Arabidopsis thaliana: one gene and its partners. The protein of the gene in region 1 interacts with the protein of each later gene in a biochemical or structural test. Each region holds a gene or a part of one and is shown in the gene's direction. Other genes may lie near its edges. The genes, in order: DRB2, DCL3 and HYL1.

Region 1 (4,793 bases):
GGAGATTGAAATAGAAAAACGAAAACAAATATAAAAGTAAATGTTGGCCACTAAGCTTAACTATGATTATGAATTCCACCTTTTACTACTGCAAATCACTCACAGCGTTTATTACGATAATGCCCCTTATCTCTCTCTAAACGTAATAAGCATTTTGGTAATTTCATGATTTCACATTTGTTCCTCCTCTCTCTCTCTACCCATTGACTTGTGTGGACATGGTTTCAAAATTCATCAAAAGCTAAATTATTCTTTAGAGATGTGTGAACATTAAGTTTTAATATATGAAAATAAAGTACGCACTAACTTCTTAGGTTTCAAGCTGTTTTCTAGTATTTTGTTTTTTCTTTTCTTTCCATTTTCATATTCCTTTTTATTAGAATACGACTTCAGACTTCCCACTAATTCTATGATTAAGTTAAAATTATACATCAGTCGAACATATTTTTATTTGTTTTGATGAAATATTTTATTTAACTTCTACTATTGAAGAAAAGCATATAGATCACACTATTGATATATAAGAAAAATTATACTAGAAACACATCTATGAAATTTTGTTAATTTTTTTTAGAGAAACTTACTATTATTTTCTTTAACCAATTATTTTTTATAAAACTAAAATGAATCAATGTGGTAGATCAAAATTGGAGACCGCACAAATAAACAAAAGATTCAACATAGAAACAAGTTAAACCCAACTTTATAGTGAAAAAAGGAGGAACAGCCATGAGATTGAAGTTTCATGGAACCAAGGTTGTAGCCTATCAAAAACGTATGTGGGTTGGATAGATCAAAATTAGAAACTTTTGTTTCAAATGGTAAAAGCAGTTATTTCACAATTCATAGATAGTTGAATGCTAAAAAAAAAATAGAGAAGATTTGGTAAGTATTAAAAATATAAAAATTGATCGGAGTAGATGTGAATCATGTGATGACCAAAAAAGATTTGACAACCAAAATTGTCTTTTTTTTTGGTGTTTTATGTATTCAGCCGTTTCCTAAGTGTTATTATAGACTTTACGGTTTCGTTTTCTCCAAAAAAAGTTTATGATTTTTTTTCACAAATTCAAAATGTATCTATTATACATAGTTGATGATGGAACTTGTGCGGATTTTTCAATTTTTTGTTTCTTTTGACCGAGATTTCAAATTACGAGTTAACGTTAAACTGAGAAGTCGCATGGATTACACATTGTTTAACTAGCTACACATGATTAGAACAAGTTAAAAATACTAAACATATTGTTTTTTTCGCCAAAAACAAGAAAGTTAAACCGTTTTGACGAGTGTTGTTATAACTTCGACCGTTTCGATGAGTGTTGTTATAGATTCTGCCGTTTCGTTCTTTCCATAATTCTCTTTTAACTTCTTCTCTGTTATTACAAACGTTAACAAAACTTAATAAACTAGAATTAACCTGTTTATTCAAATAGACTTATTTTTTTCATACCTTACAATTATACAAATTGTTCAATATATATTTAATCTTATGTTTTATGAAAATTCAAATTATAAAGCTTACAATAGTGGTGGATTATAGTTAAATGTTTTTTTTTGTTTTTTAAATCCATAAATTAAGATACATACAAAATTAGTATAGTATAAAAAGGAAATATAAAAATATCACATCCATGCAGGCTAACGTTCAGTTGACTAGCAGCGATAAAAGCAGATAATTAATTCTCACATTTAATTTTATTTTATTTTTTCCATTAAAGCAAAAACCCCACACTCTCTCTCTCTCTTGCTCCTCCCTCTCTTCCTCTCTCTATCTCTCTCTGCAAAAACCCTAAATTTCCTCCGATTTCACCATCTTCAATCTCCTTCACACCCCAACTTAGCCTCTTAATCACTCCCCAAGCTAAACCCTCCAACGATTTTCCATGATTCGAAGATACAGAGCCTTAGCGATGAAGAAAAAGCCCTAAAAACCAAAGCTTTGATCTCTCCGAAATCGGAGTTTCTTTCTTTGTTTGGTAAATTTGGTTTTCGAAATGTATAAGAACCAGCTACAAGAGTTGGCTCAGAGGAGCTGCTTTAATCTTCCTTCGTATACTTGTATTAGGGAAGGTCCTGACCACGCGCCGCGATTCAAGGCTACTGTTAACTTTAACGGCGAGATCTTTGAGAGTCCTCAGTATTGTTCTACTCTTCGTCAAGCTGAACACTCTGCTGCTGAAGTTGCTCTCAATGCTCTCTCTAATCGTGGTCCTTCTCACTCTCTTGCCGCCAGGATCTTGGTTTGTTTCGCTTCCTCTTACTCTCTTTGGCATTTTACTTGGAAAATTGTGAGCTTTGAATGCTGAATTTGCATGTTGTTTTAGGTGCTTTAGGTCACTGATGGGTTTAGTTTGTGGTTAGGTTTTTACTTATTAGGGTCGGTGCTGAGATCTCTGACTTGCTTTTTAGGGATTTGGGTTTCTGGGTTGTCTGATTAGAGAGAGTGATCTTCACATTCACTGATCTATGGATCCAAAGTTTGAATCTTGTTCTTACCCATTGATTGGTTTGGGACTTAAATGAGTAGAACAAATAACTTTTGTGATTTTGGATGCATGTTTACTTCTGATGTTTTGCTTGTTGCATGACTGATGATACTTTTCTTGGCTCTGTTCTTTTGGATTATGGTTTGTGTAGGATGAGACGGGTGTGTATAAGAATCTTTTGCAAGAGATAGCTCAAAGAGTGGGAGCTCCTTTACCGCGATATACTACTTTCAGGTCAGGTCTTGGTCACCAACCTGTGTTTACTGGTACTGTAGAATTGGCTGGAATTACGTTCACTGGAGATCCAGCTAAGAACAAGAAGCAAGCAGAGAAGAATGCTGCAATGGCTGCTTGGTCTTCCCTAAAACAATGTGAGTCCTAATTCTGATTTTGTCAGTTTTGATATGGTTTTAGTTTAACGCAGGCGTTGATCAAATGTAACTCTGCTTACATGGTTTGATGTTTTTTATGTTCTTCTTGGTAACAGTGGCAAAAGAAACATCAAGTTCAATGCCTGAGCCTGAGAACATTGACGAACTAGAACAGGTGATTATAGCAAGAGCTTTGATAAACTATCGTATCAAGGAAAACATTGGCACAGGAAGCTCCTCGAGTGCCCCAGTTCCATTTGCAAAGAAGTTCTTTATGCAGAACCTTAGACCAACAAGTCCACAGCCTTCTCCTGCAACCACATCGAGAATCTTACCCTTTATTTGCCCAAAACAACCTTCCAGAAGCAGCAGATCATCCTTAGCAGCAACTTCCGGTATTGACAGAATTATGGCAGCAGCCTTGGAAAGCCGCAGCTACCAGCGGCCTCAGCAGAGATTTGCAAATCCGCCTTATGTTCCTATGAGGCAATTTAGATCGCAATGCCATGGGATGGCTCCACCTGTCACAATCAGAACCGCTGTACCGGTCTTCTCTGCACCTCCAATGCCTCCTCCACCATGTACAAACAACACTCAGCTACCTTCTTCTGTGTATGTCCCATCGCTGATGCGAACTGCACCACCTGTGAGGATCGCGCCGCCTGTCACAATCAGAACCGCGGTGCCCGTATTTGCTTCTGCGCCACCGGTTAGAATTAGAACCGCTGTGAAGCCCACAGTTGAGGCAGGAGAAACCCGCATATCATCAGTCCAAGAAAAGGAGAGTATACCAGTCTTGCCTGATAGTCTTGAAATTGGAGTAGAAGGAAGTACTATAACAATTACAGATTGTGAGAAAACAGCGTCAAAGGAAACCGAGAGAGCAGAGTTTAAGGATTCATCGAAAGGAGAACCGGAGACAGCAAGAGAGCGACTGGAGAACCTAAAGATCTGATGCCTTGAAGACTGTCTCTGGGTTTAGTTTTTTTTGAGGTTGGTTTCTGAAAATTGTTACATTAGTAATCTCGTTCGTTATTATACTCGGTGGATCGAGTAGTTTGATAATCCGAAAGATTTGTATTATATTGGGGAGTTTTGGGAAGAACCTGGCCATCTCTGGATTGTAGAATTGTATCAGTTTCGCTTCCTATTCAGTTTGTTTGTGTCCTTTTTCTCATCTTTTATAAATCTGTTACCTATCGTTGTTCCAGCAGAATCAAGCTCTTTGTCTTACACGACAGCTATGACACATATCTCAATGAGTCTTTGGAACTTCGAATTTCTCCTTTAGCTAACAAATTCAGTCAAAATATTTCAGCACACGAGCCATATGTTTTATACAATATAGTTTTTGCAATTCAGTCAACATATCATAATAATGCATTCAACATCTGAAATTTCTTCAATCATACAACAAAGCCGACCAGATAGTTTCATTGTACAACAAAATGAATAAGGTCGTCGTCTACAAAACAATTCCCAGTTTCCAAGTATTGGGTTTGAAGAAAGTTGGTTCCAAACCCAAAACAAGAAAGAAGAAGAAAAATCAGTCACTATACACCGAAAAACACACCATGAAAACACATCTTGCTGAGCAGTATCGTGTCAACGGGATGCAAGAGACCAGAAATTGAAGAGAAACGAAGGCAAAGCAGCGAACCAGCTTATGAAAGCTAATGCCGTTGATGTTTCAAACTGAACACAGTGGTTTTGTGCGCAGCTATTCAGATCGTTGTCTATTAGAACCGTTATGCCTGCCGATGCACAAGCTGCTGCAAAAGTCAGCGTCGATGTCACCTGAAATAATGTTGAAAAATGCTTATTTGTACACATCTCTTTTCTCATACGATTTTATTAAATTGAGAGGCTAAATGGTAAATCTCTTACCCCATCACCAATTGCAAACAAGCTCACAAGTCGACGGTTCTGTAGA
Region 2 (8,101 bases), on another chromosome or scaffold:
ATTTTAAGCCACATTGGATCATTGGGATTGACCCTAACTTATCCGGAGCTTTGGCTGTGCTGAAATTCGACGACAAGGGATCTTGTTTTGCTCAGGTGAATCGCTACTAATTAATTTTCGAAAAGAATATTGTTTTTCTTCTGAAACCCTAGAACTGTGAAACTACAAGATTCTAGGGTTTGTGAAGTAAATTAAGATATTCCATTGGGTAATCTCAGGACATGCACTTGGTTAGTCATAAATTATATATACAAGGTTCGATATTTCATTGGGTAATCTCAGGCAGATGGACTTGGTTTATCATAATTTATATATACAAGGTTCGATTGTTATCTATAGGAATTATATGAATGAAATTAATATTGGATGATAGAAGATTTACAACTAATTAACCTGTTTGTAACTATTGAGTTAGTGAGTTTTGTTATCTATCCCTTAAGTTAAATAAGACATGCTTTGTAAACTGTTCTCTTGGTGAATACAGTGGAAAATTCACTTTAGTCATTTTGATATGGATTAAGTTTTGTGTGTTAAATCTGTGTGAAGGTATATGATACTCCTCAGTTGGAAGTTGTAGTTCAAAACATCCGAACACGTAGTTTCAACGAAAAATCAATGCTAGAACTGATTCGTAGTCTAGATGTTCCATCCGGTAAGAACGATATTTCACTGTGTTTTTGTTGTGGCGTGTTCTTTGCGTTATGTTTAAAATCAATTTGGTCTCTTCACTGTTGTAGGAACCAAGGCATTTGTAGCGAAATATATTCATCCTGAAAACGCTATTGTAAAAATTACTCATCTCTTTTTTTTTTTACTTCAGTACGTTTATGATATGGATTCGATACACTGAAACATGATTGTGTCTTTATATCTTAGACTGCCTACAATGATGGACTTGGATGTGGATTATGGACACTTCTCACATCTAGCATTTCTGTTATTTACGTTACTCCTTCTACATGGGACAAACATTTTAATCTTAGTATTTGGAGTTTGGTGATGAATCTTAACTCTCAAACTTTTATGATTTCATGTCTATCCTCACATCAATTGCAATAAAAATATTTGCTTTTCTCTTCGTAGGATGGTGGCAGGAAACTCGCACTGGAAATGTTTCCATCACTTAAATTGACAACGAAAATTGACGACAATGCTCGAGCTAATGCACTACTCATTGCTGCATATGGTCATGCTACAAGTGATACAAGATATTACTCATTTTCTCAAATTAAGTGACATATCTAACATGTAAAAATGAGTAATGTTTTGGTGATTTCACTTATATATTGCATCTCTTTCTCTGCTCCTTTGGCTTTCAGAAAATTCTTCACTAATTAGAAAAAAATATTTTGTTTATTCTTTTTCCGTATTCAAAATCTCTCAAAATTTGGTCATTTTTCGATTTCTATATTTATCTAATTTTCAAGGTGAGAGTTGTTAATGTAGTTTGGTTATGATTTAACCCGACCGAAATCCTCATGACCTAACAAATTATAAATAATCTCTGACAAAACAAGGTAAATTGTCTCGGGTTGAAAGAGACATTAGAATTAGATGATATTAACATAAGTCAGCCCCTCTTCTACATTTTTAGCTTTCTTTTAGTCGAAAATCATTCCAAACTCGGAACATACATTGTGGTGTTTATTTGGGAAGAAGTCCACGCTAAAGTATTTTAGTACATTTCTACCAGATTACCCGGATAAATAAAAAAAGCGAAGTTACTTACAACATGAAACAGCTTGCACATTGAAGAAAAGTAATCAATCAGCAGTATATCCAATGAATCTATGCATCTTGTCAGGTCCATTGGGCCTTAGAGGCCTAAATATTTGAAGAAAGAGTAAAATCAAAAATAAAGTATCGAAAAAAGGTAACCCAAAAATTAATATAGTTTGACTAATTTTGTTGCAGTTTTTTTTTCTAGTTAAAAATTCAACATTCGAAACTCATGTTCTGACCTCATTTATACACTTGCCCAGTGGTCAGTGCAGAAAAAGAGAAAAAGAATCACCTTTTTGTTTTAATCTCAAAGTCGAAATTCGAAATTCCTCTACTCTTCCCGTTAAGTGTGTTCCTTTTTATCCGTTCGTCATGCATTCGTCGTTGGAGCCGGAGAAAATGGAGGAAGGTGGGGGAAGCAATTCGCTTAAGAGAAAATTCTCTGAAATCGATGGAGATCAAAATCTTGATTCTGTCTCTTCTCCTATGATGACTGACTCTAATGGGTATCATCATCTTCCTCTCTTTGTACTTGATTTTGGGTCTTATGGGTTTTTAGTCTTTTTCACTAAAGTTTACTTTTTTTTTGGCAGTAGTTATGAATTGAAAGTGTACGAGGTTGCTAAGAACAGGAACATAATTGCTGTTTTGGGGACAGGGATTGATAAGTCAGAGATCACTAAGAGGCTTATCAAAGCTATGGGTTCTTCTGATACAGACAAAAGATTGATAATTTTCTTGGCCCCAACTGTGAATCTTGTTAAACAGGCAAGTCTCTTGTTTGATTGTAAAAAGAAAAACTGTTTCATTTGGATTTTAATCATTTTGAGTTGATGATGTTGGCTAATGAGTCGCCTTGGGAGCTTATTTTTGAATGTTTTATTGGTGTGTGTGGTTTTAGCAATGCTGTGAGATCAGAGCACTTGTGAATTTGAAAGTTGAAGAGTACTTTGGAGCTAAAGGAGTTGATAAATGGACATCTCAGCGCTGGGATGAGGAATTTAGCAAGCACGATGTAAGTTTCTGTTTCTTTTTGTGTATATTTGGCTAGTTATACGCCAACAAAGTGACTTGCTTGTAGTTTTGGTGATTTTATATCAAAATTTCTTTGTGTGGTTAGTGAAACTTTGGCAGAATGTTGTAATCCACTTTGACCAGCTCATTGTTGTATTTTGAGTCATGAATGTTCTCTGAGTTAGTTAAAAGCCCATTCCAATTTGTTACTTTTGGGGTTGGTTCTTCTTCCAATGCTGATTATTTCTTAATTATTTTGTTTGAACTTGTTTGCTTGAGCCCTTGACGTAGATTTGTGACTGCATTGATCTCACTAACAGAATCACATACTTCTCTTTTGTTGCCGAATCCACGTGAGTCTATTATCTGCAATGAAATTATGTTTTGTATGGTTCAGGTTTTAGTTATGACTCCTCAAATATTATTGGATGTCCTTAGAAGTGCATTCCTGAAACTAGAGATGGTATGTCTTCTAATAATAGATGAATGCCACCATACCACTGGCAATCATCCCTATGCGAAGTTAATGAAGGTGTGTTTTCTCAGTAATGATAAGCTCTATTAGTTTTTTCATAATAGAGTTTCCATAACTTGTCAACGAACTAGATTCTTTCTTGTTTTCATGAAGGAATTCTATCACGAATCCACTAGCAAACCGAAGATATTTGGATTGACTGCGTCAGCCGTCATTAGAAAAGGCATGCTATTTAAAAGTTTCTTATTTCCTCTGTATGCCAAACCAAAGATCCTGCTTCCTGTAACTACTTTTTAATGTTTGAACTTCATGTAAGGAACATAAACTCATACTACAAGTGTTTCCTCTCCCTCTAACTATGCAGCTCAAGTATCAGAACTTGAGAGACTCATGGACTCAAAGGTACTTTGTTTTTGTGTAACAAGGAAACAGATATAGTTTACAAATTAATGCTATGCAATCTTACTTTGAATTCAGATTTTTAATCCTGAAGAGCGTGAAGGAGTGGAAAAGTTTGCTACAACGGTTAAAGAAGGTCCAATATTGTATAACCCATCACCATCCTGTAGTTTGGAATTGAAAGAAAAGTTAGAAACTTCACACCTCAAGGTATATAATATATGCTCACTGAATATGATCCAGAACATGACTCTTTCCTATTATGTTTCAGAGTGCTTGAAAAATATTCTGTTTTTTTTCGTACAGTTTGATGCTTCTCTTAGAAGGCTTCAAGAGTTGGGAAAAGACAGTTTTCTGAATATGGATAATAAGTTTGAGACATATCAAAAGAGATTGTCTATCGACTACAGAGAGATTTTGCATTGCCTTGATAATCTTGGCCTGATTTGCGCACACTTGGTATTTTTCTACCAGTTTAGTTTTTATTACCAGTTCTTCATTTGCTTACTCATTGTTACTTTTTTCTCCCGCTAGCATACCTGTTGTGCTGATTATTTTTCTTTTTTTTTTCATCTTGCTTTCGCGATAGGCGGCTGAAGTCTGCTTGGAGAAAATCTCAGATACGAAAGAGGAAAGTGAAACTTATAAAGAATGCTCAATGGTGTGCAAGGAATTTCTTGAGGATATTTTATCCACCATTGGGGTGTATTTGCCGCAAGGTAATGTATTCAAAGCTCTATATTGCATTGAGTCCTCTTCTAGTCACTAATTTTTACACTGTTTATCATTTGTGTTATTTAACAGATGATAAGAGTCTGGTAGATTTGCAGCAAAACCATCTGTCAGCAGTAATTTCTGGGCATGTATCTCCAAAGCTAAAAGAACTCTTCCATCTATTGGATTCCTTTAGGTAAATTTAAATTGTTTATCCAACTCCCAAAATTGCACCAAGATCTCCATCTGTTCTGACAATTTCAATTTGCTTGCAGAGGTGACAAGCAAAAGCAGTGCCTTATTTTAGTTGAGAGAATTATAACTGCGAAAGTGATCGAAAGATTCGTTAAGAAAGAAGCCTCTTTGGCTTACCTTAATGTCTTGTATTTAACCGAAAACAACCCCTCCACCAATGTATCGGCACAGAAAATGCAAATTGAAATCCCTGATTTATTTCAACATGGCAAGGTTACCTGTTCTTCATCACAGTCAGATGTTTTATAGATTGAGAAATGTTTTTATTTTGTCTTCTCTGAAAGCTTTTTAATGCATGTAGGTGAATCTTTTATTCATCACAGATGTGGTTGAAGAGGGATTTCAGGTTCCAGATTGCTCATGCATGGTTTGTTTTGACCTGCCCAAAACAATGTGTAGTTACTCGCAGTCTCAAAAACATGCCAAACAGAGTAATTCTAAGTCTATCATGTTTCTTGAAAGGTAGGAAGCAATATTTATTTAACACAAAATGTTTACCAAATTCCAGTTTTTGTAGCTTATTTCTGAATACTAATTATTGTAGAGGGAACCCGAAGCAAAGAGACCATCTGCATGACCTTATGCGAAGAGAAGTCCTAATTCAAGATCCAGAAGCTCCAAACTTGAAATCGTGTCCACCTCCAGTGAAAAATGGACACGGTGTGAAGGAGATTGGATCCATGGTTATCCCAGATTCTAACATAACTGTATCTGAGGAAGCAGCTTCCACACAAACTATGAGTGATCCTCCTAGCAGAAATGAGCAGTTACCACCGTGTAAAAAGTTACGCTTGGATAACAATCTCTTACAATCCAACGGCAAAGAGAAGGTTGCCTCTTCTAAAAGTAAATCATCTTCATCGGCTGCAGGTATGTTTTCTAATTTATTAATTCGTCAATTAGCTGGTGTCGCTGATTTTAGTCTTTAGTTCCTCTATCAGCCGCTGTTGTATCACACACATACACGCACACATCAGCAGTTGCATATCATATGTCTATGTCTAAGGTCATGGAGCTTGTCTTAATTTGTTTATTTATGTATACATTTCTTTTTCTTTTCGCTGAACAGGTTCAAAAAAACGTAAGGAGTTGCACGGAACAACCTGTGCAAACGCATTGTCAGGAACCTGGGGAGAAAATATTGATGGCGCCACCTTTCAGGCTTATAAGTTTGACTTCTGTTGTAATATTTCTGGCGAAGTATACTCGAGTTTCTCTCTTTTGCTTGAGTCAACTCTCGCCGAGGATGTTGGTAAAGTTGAGATGGACCTTTACTTGGTCAGGAAGCTTGTCAAGGCTTCTGTCTCACCTTGTGGCCAGATACGTTTGAGTCAAGAGGAGGTACATAACTCTGATCCCTAGTTATAAACAGTTTCTTGTTTCATGGTTTGAACTTGATGTCTTCTTCTTTGTGTTTTGGATGCAGCTGGTCAAAGCAAAATATTTTCAGCAGTTTTTCTTTAATGGCATGTTTGGAAAGTTGTTTGTTGGATCTAAGTCACAGGGAACAAAGAGAGAATTTTTGCTTCAAACTGACACTAGTTCTCTTTGGCACCCTGCCTTTATGTTTCTACTGCTACCAGTTGAAACAAATGATCTAGCTTCGAGTGCGACAATTGATTGGTCAGCTATCAACTCCTGTGCCTCAATAGTTGAGTTCTTGAAGAAAAATTCTCTTCTTGATCTTCGGGATAGTGATGGGAATCAGTGCAATACCTCATCCGGTCAGGAAGTCTTACTAGACGATAAAATGGAAGAAACGAATCTGATTCATTTTGCCAATGCTTCGTCTGATAAAAATAGTCTCGAAGAACTTGTGGTCATTGCAATTCATACTGGACGGATATACTCTATAGTTGAAGCCGTAAGCGATTCTTCTGCTATGAGCCCCTTTGAGGTGGATGCCTCATCAGGCTATGCTACTTATGCAGAATATTTTAACAAAAAGTAAGTGATATTCTAGCTTTGGCTGTTCTTTCAATCTACTTATCATAACTCTCTAGTTAATGTTATTCCCTTTTAATCAGGTATGGGATTGTTTTAGCGCACCCGAACCAGCCGTTGATGAAGTTGAAGCAGAGTCACCATGCGCACAACCTTTTAGTCGACTTCAATGAAGAGAGTAAGTTGATTCTTGAGAATTTCTCCAACATATGGAATCATTGTGTATGTTCTCATGATATTGTAGTGTGTGAGCTCTAAGATGTTGTTTCCAATGTAAATGGACAGTGGTTGTGAAGACAGAACCAAAAGCTGGCAATGTTAGGAAAAGAAAACCGAATATCCATGCGCATTTGCCTCCAGAGCTTTTGGCTAGAATTGATGTACCGCGTGCTGTGCTAAAATCAATCTACTTGCTGCCTTCAGTGATGCACCGCCTAGAGTCTCTAATGTTGGCCAGCCAGCTTAGGGAAGAGATTGATTGTAGCATAGATAACTTCAGTATATCAAGTACATCGGTATGGTTTTTGAAAACTATCTGTCATTTAGAGATGAAACTAGATATCTTGATTGTCATTAAACTCTTGTCTTGGTTCAATAAATCAGATTCTTGAAGCAGTTACAACACTTACATGCCCCGAATCATTTTCAATGGAGCGGTTGGAACTGCTCGGGGATTCAGTCTTGAAGTATGTTGCGAGCTGTCATCTATTCCTTAAGTATCCTGACAAAGATGAGGGGCAACTATCACGGCAGAGACAATCGATTATATCTAACTCAAATCTTCACCGCTTGACAACCAGTCGCAAACTACAGGTATCTTCTAACATTTGCAAGTAATGTCTTACATCAGTCAGAACACCAAAGAAATATCTTTCCATGGGGATTGGTTTGATAGGGATACATAAGAAATGGCGCTTTTGAACCGCGTCGCTGGACTGCACCTGGTCAATTTTCTCTTTTTCCTGTTCCTTGCAAGTGTGGGATTGATACTAGAGAAGTACCATTGGACCCAAAATTCTTCACAGAAAACATGACTATCAAAATAGGCAAGTCTTGCGACATGGGTCATAGATGGGTAGTTTCAAAATCTGTATCAGATTGCGCTGAGGCCCTGATTGGTGCCTATTATGTAAGCGGTGGATTGTCTGCTTCTCTCCATATGATGAAATGGCTCGGTATTGACGTCGATTTTGACCCAAACCTAGTCGTTGAAGCCATCAATAGAGTTTCTCTACGGTGTTACATTCCTAAAGAAGATGAGCTCATAGAGTTGGAGAGAAAGATCCAACATGAATTCTCTGCAAAGTTTCTTTTAAAAGAGGCTATCACACACTCCTCTCTTCGTGAATCCTATTCATACGAGGTATGACTTCATCATTTTCAACCCCTGCATTATTTGGCTGACTTATTCCCAGGTTTCCAACCTCATGCTATCATTTTTTTCCTCAAACAGAGATTAGAGTTTCTTGGCGATTCTGTACTGGATTTTCTAATAACCCGTCATCTTTTTAACACCTACGAACAAACTGGGCCTGGAGAGATGACCGATCTTCGTTCTGCATGTGTAAACAATGAAAA
Region 3 (5,219 bases), on another chromosome or scaffold:
CAGCTGAACCATTTCCATTCATCCCCTCGGTAGATGTAACTTTCTGAAGACAGACCGGAAAGTTGATATTCATCCCTCTTGACGACCAAGGAGACTCTGATGGTTCCTGAGAACCCTCAGGCAAAGCATAAGGTATGTTTATAGTCAAGGGAGCCTCAACTGTTGAATCGTCGAGTATATCAGACTCACTTAGAACATATGAAGCAGCCATCACCTGGGAATACAAGAGAAACGAAAACTTAATGATATTTGGATAAAATGGGAACTCTGGATAAGCACAGATTGATATGCAGAACAAGTAACCAACACACTAATCATTAAGAAAACAGCAAGGTGTTATCCTGAATAGAGCCTAGGGACTTCAGATTCTGAAATTCTGTCAAGGGAATGAAATCTATGATTCCGTTCTTACTTTGACATGTGCAATAGCCTCCACTGATGCTTCATGGCTGACTGCAGGAGAAGCTTCCAATTCGCACTCCATGTCACTATCGTCGTCCTGCACAGGCAACTTTCGTTTAAAAAATCTGTAAACTACACCAGCGAGAGACACTCATCGATCCCTAATGCTACCAAGAAGTTTTAGTATCCACTGCCACATAGAACATAAACTAGTATTTCATCACACTCACTTCTAGATGATACTGATAACACAAAGTAGTAGTGAGTTTTTATTGAAGAAAACTAACTAACTCTACAACATAAACTTGAGTCTTTTACAATTCATCAAAAGTGGAAAGAGGAGAGACAGAATAAGTACCAGAGGTAGAGCATCATCTTCCACAGGGAGGAGAGGATGCCGATAAGAAAGATGACGCCATAGCAACTGGTACTCTCTAGCATTAGTAATTCCGGTAGTGGTCTTCTTCACCAACGCATTCCAGTCCATCTTGGTTTCGGAACAATAAGATATCTCCTGTAGCATTCTCAGTATCGTCTCCATATCATATCTGCGTCAATAAATCAAAAACCCCGGCCACACTGACTAAACCCAAATCCACTAACGTTTTCGGAAAGAGAAAACAAAAAAAGGAGATATTTTTACCTCAGCAAAAGAGTGGCGATGTCGCCTTCAGTAATGATTCTCTTCCTGCGATTGCTACTAGTATTATTATTAGCAACCATCTTCGTCGTATTTATTGCAACAATTCTGCAGAGAACAGGACAAAGGAATCAAATTTCACCAAAACCCGAGGGAGTTATAGACGAAACGAAACGACAGAGACTTACGCACGAGGGAATGCCCAAGAAAACCGGTGAAGACGATCGGAGAAGAAGATGGTCACGACTGTCGAAGAGCGTGGAGAGTACTCGCGTGGCAGAGGTGTTTCGGAAGAGAGAAGAAAAAAAAGGAACGAAAAGGAAGGTGGTAAATTCGACTATTATTATTCTACGCTTATCAGAAGCGAAAAGTATGGGCTCAAATATTTTTCTTTTCTGGTAAAGGGATATAGGATCAAGTGGGCTCAAATATGGGCTCAAATATTTTTCTTTTCTGTTAAGGGACATAGGCTCAAGTGGGCTCAAATATGGGCTCAAATTGTTTTTATTTTTTATTAAACGGTTATTATCATTATTGATGTTTACTTGGAGAACAAATTAATTATTTGTGAATACAAAAACTGTGTGAATATAACAAAGGGATTACTAGTGAATAAAGTTAGCCATAAAAAGGTTAATCAATTGTGGATATATACATTAGTTAACTACATATGAAATACGAAATTAGGCTATATGTAATTAGTTTTTTAATTAAATTAAATATTTCAAAGATAAAAACATTTTGCTTTCATATAATATTCACAAGTAAATTATATTTATGGAAAATTTGACCAAAAAGGTAAATTTATGGAATATAATATAATTTATAAAGGTTTGAAATTAAATTCAATATTAACATTTGTAACATAACAATTAAGAACCACCTTCTTTCGTTTGCCCTTGTGAAAAAAAAACAAAAATAAAAATCAGTAAAGAGGAGGAAGTCGAGGGGAGAGGGTTTTTGGTGAAGAAGAATCATCTCTCTCTCTCTGCTTCTTCGCAGCAGCAGCACGTTTCTTTCTTGCTCTTCGCCGTGCCCTACTAACCTATTATTCGTCTCTTCAGCTACATTCTGCTCGTGAAAATGACCTCCACTGATGTTTCCTCTGGTGAATTACTTCTTCTTCTTCTTCTTCTTCTTCACCATCATGTCTGCATTATCTCTAATTCAACATTCATGGGTTGTTTTTTCCGGGTTTTAATTTTGAAACCAGATCATGCTTTTTCCCCTTTCTTCTGTTCTTTACTCACTTCTTTCTTCTTGGAAATTGGATTGCAGTGTTTTGATTAGTTAGAATTTACAAGTGTATCTGTCCCTTGTGGGTTTAAGCGTAGATCTCTCTGGCAATTGGCAAGTTTACTCTTTTGAGATGATGATTTATTGACTCAATTTGTTAGGGAACATAGAAGCTTGGTTTAAAACTGTCTCTCCCCTTTTGGATAAGTATAGTTTCTTTGTGAAAGTCGTCAGCTTTATTCAGAACTCGTTCACTGCTGTTCCCTGTTGTCGTTTTGAGTTTATTTGCAATTTATGCTGTAGTGGATAGCATCATCACTGTTTCTGTTTTATCTTTTGCCTCATTTTGAAGTTTTTTTCCTGCTCAGGTGTTTCCAATTGCTATGTTTTCAAAAGTCGGTTGCAGGAGTATGCTCAGAAGTACAAGCTCCCAACGCCTGTTTATGAGATCGTTAAAGAAGGCCCTTCACACAAATCTTTATTTCAATCGACTGTGATACTGGATGGTGTCAGATATAATTCTTTGCCTGGATTCTTCAATCGTAAGGCTGCAGAGCAATCAGCTGCCGAGGTTGCTCTCCGGGAATTAGCAAAATCCAGTGAGCTAAGCCAATGTGTTTCACAACCTGTTGTAAGCACCTCATCTTTCTTATTTCGCTCGTGATTATTGTTAAGTTCACTGCAAAACTATTGAACCTAGCCTAGGGGTTTAGCAGCGAATTGTAGCTTTGCCATCTCAGCAGTAGTCCTTATGCTTAGTTTGAGCGTTGAAGGTTTAAAGGGAAGCTCATGGTTAGTTTCAGAGTTGAAGGTTTAAAGGGGAGCTGTGAGAATACGTTAGGGGGCATTCTGTATTTGTCTAGGCTCTTGGTTGGACAATGATCGAGATTCAAGAGTTTAAAGAATCCACTCATTAATAAAGTGTCTTCTGTCTTATCGGATTTATGTGTATTGCCAACTTCTAGAGGGAAGATTCTTAGGCTGTTTCTGTAAGTTATTGCTCTTGTCTAACTTTGAATGGCTTATTAATGCAGCACGAAACGGGATTATGCAAGAACCTACTTCAAGAATACGCTCAAAAGATGAATTACGCGATTCCATTGTATCAGTGCCAGAAGGTCGAAACTCTTGGGAGAGTTACACAATTCACATGTACTGTAGAGATTGGAGGCATAAAGTACACAGGAGCTGCAACAAGAACTAAAAAAGATGCTGAGATTAGCGCTGGGAGAACTGCTCTTTTAGCGATCCAGTCAGACACTAAAAACAACCTTGCCAACTACAACACTCAGCTTACTGTACTTCCTTGTGAGAAGAAGACAATACAGGCAGCTATCCCGCTTAAAGAAACCGTCAAGACTCTTAAAGCCAGGAAGGCTCAGTTCAAGAAGAAAGCTCAGAAAGGAAAACGCACAGTAGCTAAAAATCCTGAAGATATTATCATCCCTCCTCAACCTACTGATCATTGTCAAAACGATCAGTCAGAGAAAATTGAGACAACGCCAAATCTGGAACCTTCTTCATGCATGAACGGGTTAAAGGAGGCAGCATTTGGGAGTGTGGAGACAGAGAAAATTGAGACAACGCCAAATCTGGAACCTCCTTCATGCATGAACGGGTTAAAGGAGGCAGCATTTGGGAGTGTGGAGACAGAGAAAATTGAGACAACGCCAAATCTGGAACCTCCTTCATGCATGAACGGGTTAAAGGAGGCAGCATTTGGGAGTGTGGAGACAGAGAAAATTGAGACAACGCCAAATCTGGAACCTTCTTCATGCATGAACGGGTTAAAGGAGGCAGCATTTGGGAGTGTGGAGACAGAGAAAATTGAGACAACGCCAAATCTGGAACCTCCTTCATGCATGAACGGGTTAAAGGAGGCAGCATTTGGGAGTGTGGAGACAGAGAAAATTGAGACAACGCCAAATCTGGAATCTTCTTCATGCATGAGCGGGTTAAAGGAGGCAGCATTTGGGAGTGTGGAGACAGAAGCAAGCCACGCATAACAGTGTCAAGATGGAGTCTTGTGAGTTTGTCATAGTTACTATATGGTTACGTAGCCATTTTGTGATTCCTATCTAGTCTAGTAGTAATTCACAGATTGAAGAGAAGTAATATTTGAGCGGAAAATCAAAACTAATATGATTGGTACAATTTGGTGGTCGATTGAGTCATTCGAATAAAGTAATGTGGGGTTGCAAAACAGAAGCTTCATATCTACATATAAATGAAAATTACTCTCAAACTTCATTATTTGTGGGCCGGTTATAAAAACACAAACCCAACAGAAGGTCCATTACCCTCACTCTTCATTATTTGTGGGCTGGTTCTAAAAAACAAAAGTCCAATAGAAGGTTCATTACCCTCACTCTTGATTATTTGTGGGCTGGTTCTAAAAAACAGAAGCCCAACTTGCTGACCCAACAGGTCCGTTTACGAAACCCTAATCTCAAAACAGAGATATAAATACACTCTGCCTTCCTCATTTCATTTCTTCGGCGATCTAGGGTTTTAGTTGTCGCACGAGGAGGAAAAATGCCAGCGGGTCATGGAGTTCGGGCGAGAACGAGGGATCTGTTCGCGAGGCCATTCAGGAAGAAGGGTTACATTCCACTCTCGACTTACCTGAGAACCTTCAAGGTCGGCGATTACGTCGATGTGAAGGTGAATGGTGCGATCCACAAGGGTATGCCTCACAAGTTCTACCACGGTCGTACTGGTCGTATCTGGAACGTCACTAAACGCGCCGTCGGTGTTGAAGTCAACAAACAGGTCTGATGAACTCTCCTATCTCTTCAGCTTTTGTGTCATTGAATTAGGATTTGAGCTTCTTAGTGTGCTATTTGGATTGTTGATCTATTGCTTTGATGTAGAAATGTGTGATTGAGTATAGGTTTGTGGAATGTAAATCTTCTTCTATGCTACAATTGAGCTCAGATTT

The links.
Region 2: the proteins of DRB2 (region 1) and DCL3 interact in far-western blotting, tested with the Arabidopsis thaliana proteins (one study listed by BioGRID).
Region 3: the proteins of DRB2 (region 1) and HYL1 interact in far-western blotting, tested with the Arabidopsis thaliana proteins (one study listed by BioGRID).

The regions. Positions count from the first base shown.
Region 1 is NC_003071.7:12,133,120-12,137,912, reverse strand, and holds DRB2 (dsRNA-binding protein 2), read left to right. Parts: upstream 1-1,671; 5' UTR 1,672-1,997; coding exon 1,998-2,243; intron 2,244-2,640; coding exon 2,641-2,860; intron 2,861-2,976; coding exon 2,977-3,815; 3' UTR 3,816-4,181; downstream 4,182-4,793. Other genes in the region: AT2G28370 (Uncharacterized protein family (UPF0497)), read right to left, coding at 4,466-4,657, 4,748-4,793. UniProt on the Arabidopsis thaliana protein: Binds double-stranded RNA. May be involved in RNA-mediated silencing.
Region 2 is NC_003074.8:15,751,454-15,759,554, forward strand, and holds the start of DCL3 (dicer-like 3), read left to right. Parts: upstream 1-2,094; coding exon 2,095-2,228; intron 2,229-2,315; coding exon 2,316-2,490; intron 2,491-2,623; coding exon 2,624-2,737; intron 2,738-3,133; coding exon 3,134-3,268; intron 3,269-3,364; coding exon 3,365-3,438; exon of another isoform or gene 3,439-3,549; coding exon 3,550-3,613; intron 3,614-3,688; coding exon 3,689-3,820; intron 3,821-3,916; coding exon 3,917-4,069; intron 4,070-4,199; coding exon 4,200-4,329; intron 4,330-4,414; coding exon 4,415-4,520; intron 4,521-4,599; coding exon 4,600-4,792; intron 4,793-4,880; coding exon 4,881-5,041; intron 5,042-5,123; coding exon 5,124-5,449; intron 5,450-5,648; coding exon 5,649-5,920; intron 5,921-6,005; coding exon 6,006-6,526; intron 6,527-6,606; coding exon 6,607-6,701; intron 6,702-6,808; coding exon 6,809-7,038; intron 7,039-7,126; coding exon 7,127-7,336; intron 7,337-7,418; coding exon 7,419-7,886; intron 7,887-7,976; coding exon 7,977-8,101. Other genes in the region: AT3G43910 (MutS2), read left to right, coding at 1-95, 547-652, 738-784, 877-996, 1,084-1,236. UniProt on the Arabidopsis thaliana protein: Ribonuclease (RNase) III involved in RNA-mediated post-transcriptional gene silencing (PTGS).
Region 3 is NC_003070.9:3,137,025-3,142,243, reverse strand, and holds HYL1 (dsRNA-binding domain-like superfamily protein), read left to right. Parts: upstream 1-1,890; 5' UTR 1,891-2,125; coding exon 2,126-2,150; intron 2,151-2,646; coding exon 2,647-2,909; intron 2,910-3,312; coding exon 3,313-4,284; 3' UTR 4,285-4,595; downstream 4,596-5,219. Other genes in the region: AT1G09710 (Homeodomain-like superfamily protein), read right to left, coding at 1-214, 413-499, 761-950, 1,046-1,125; AT1G09690 (Translation protein SH3-like family protein), read left to right, coding at 4,814-5,050. UniProt on the Arabidopsis thaliana protein: Double-stranded RNA-binding protein involved in RNA-mediated post-transcriptional gene silencing (PTGS).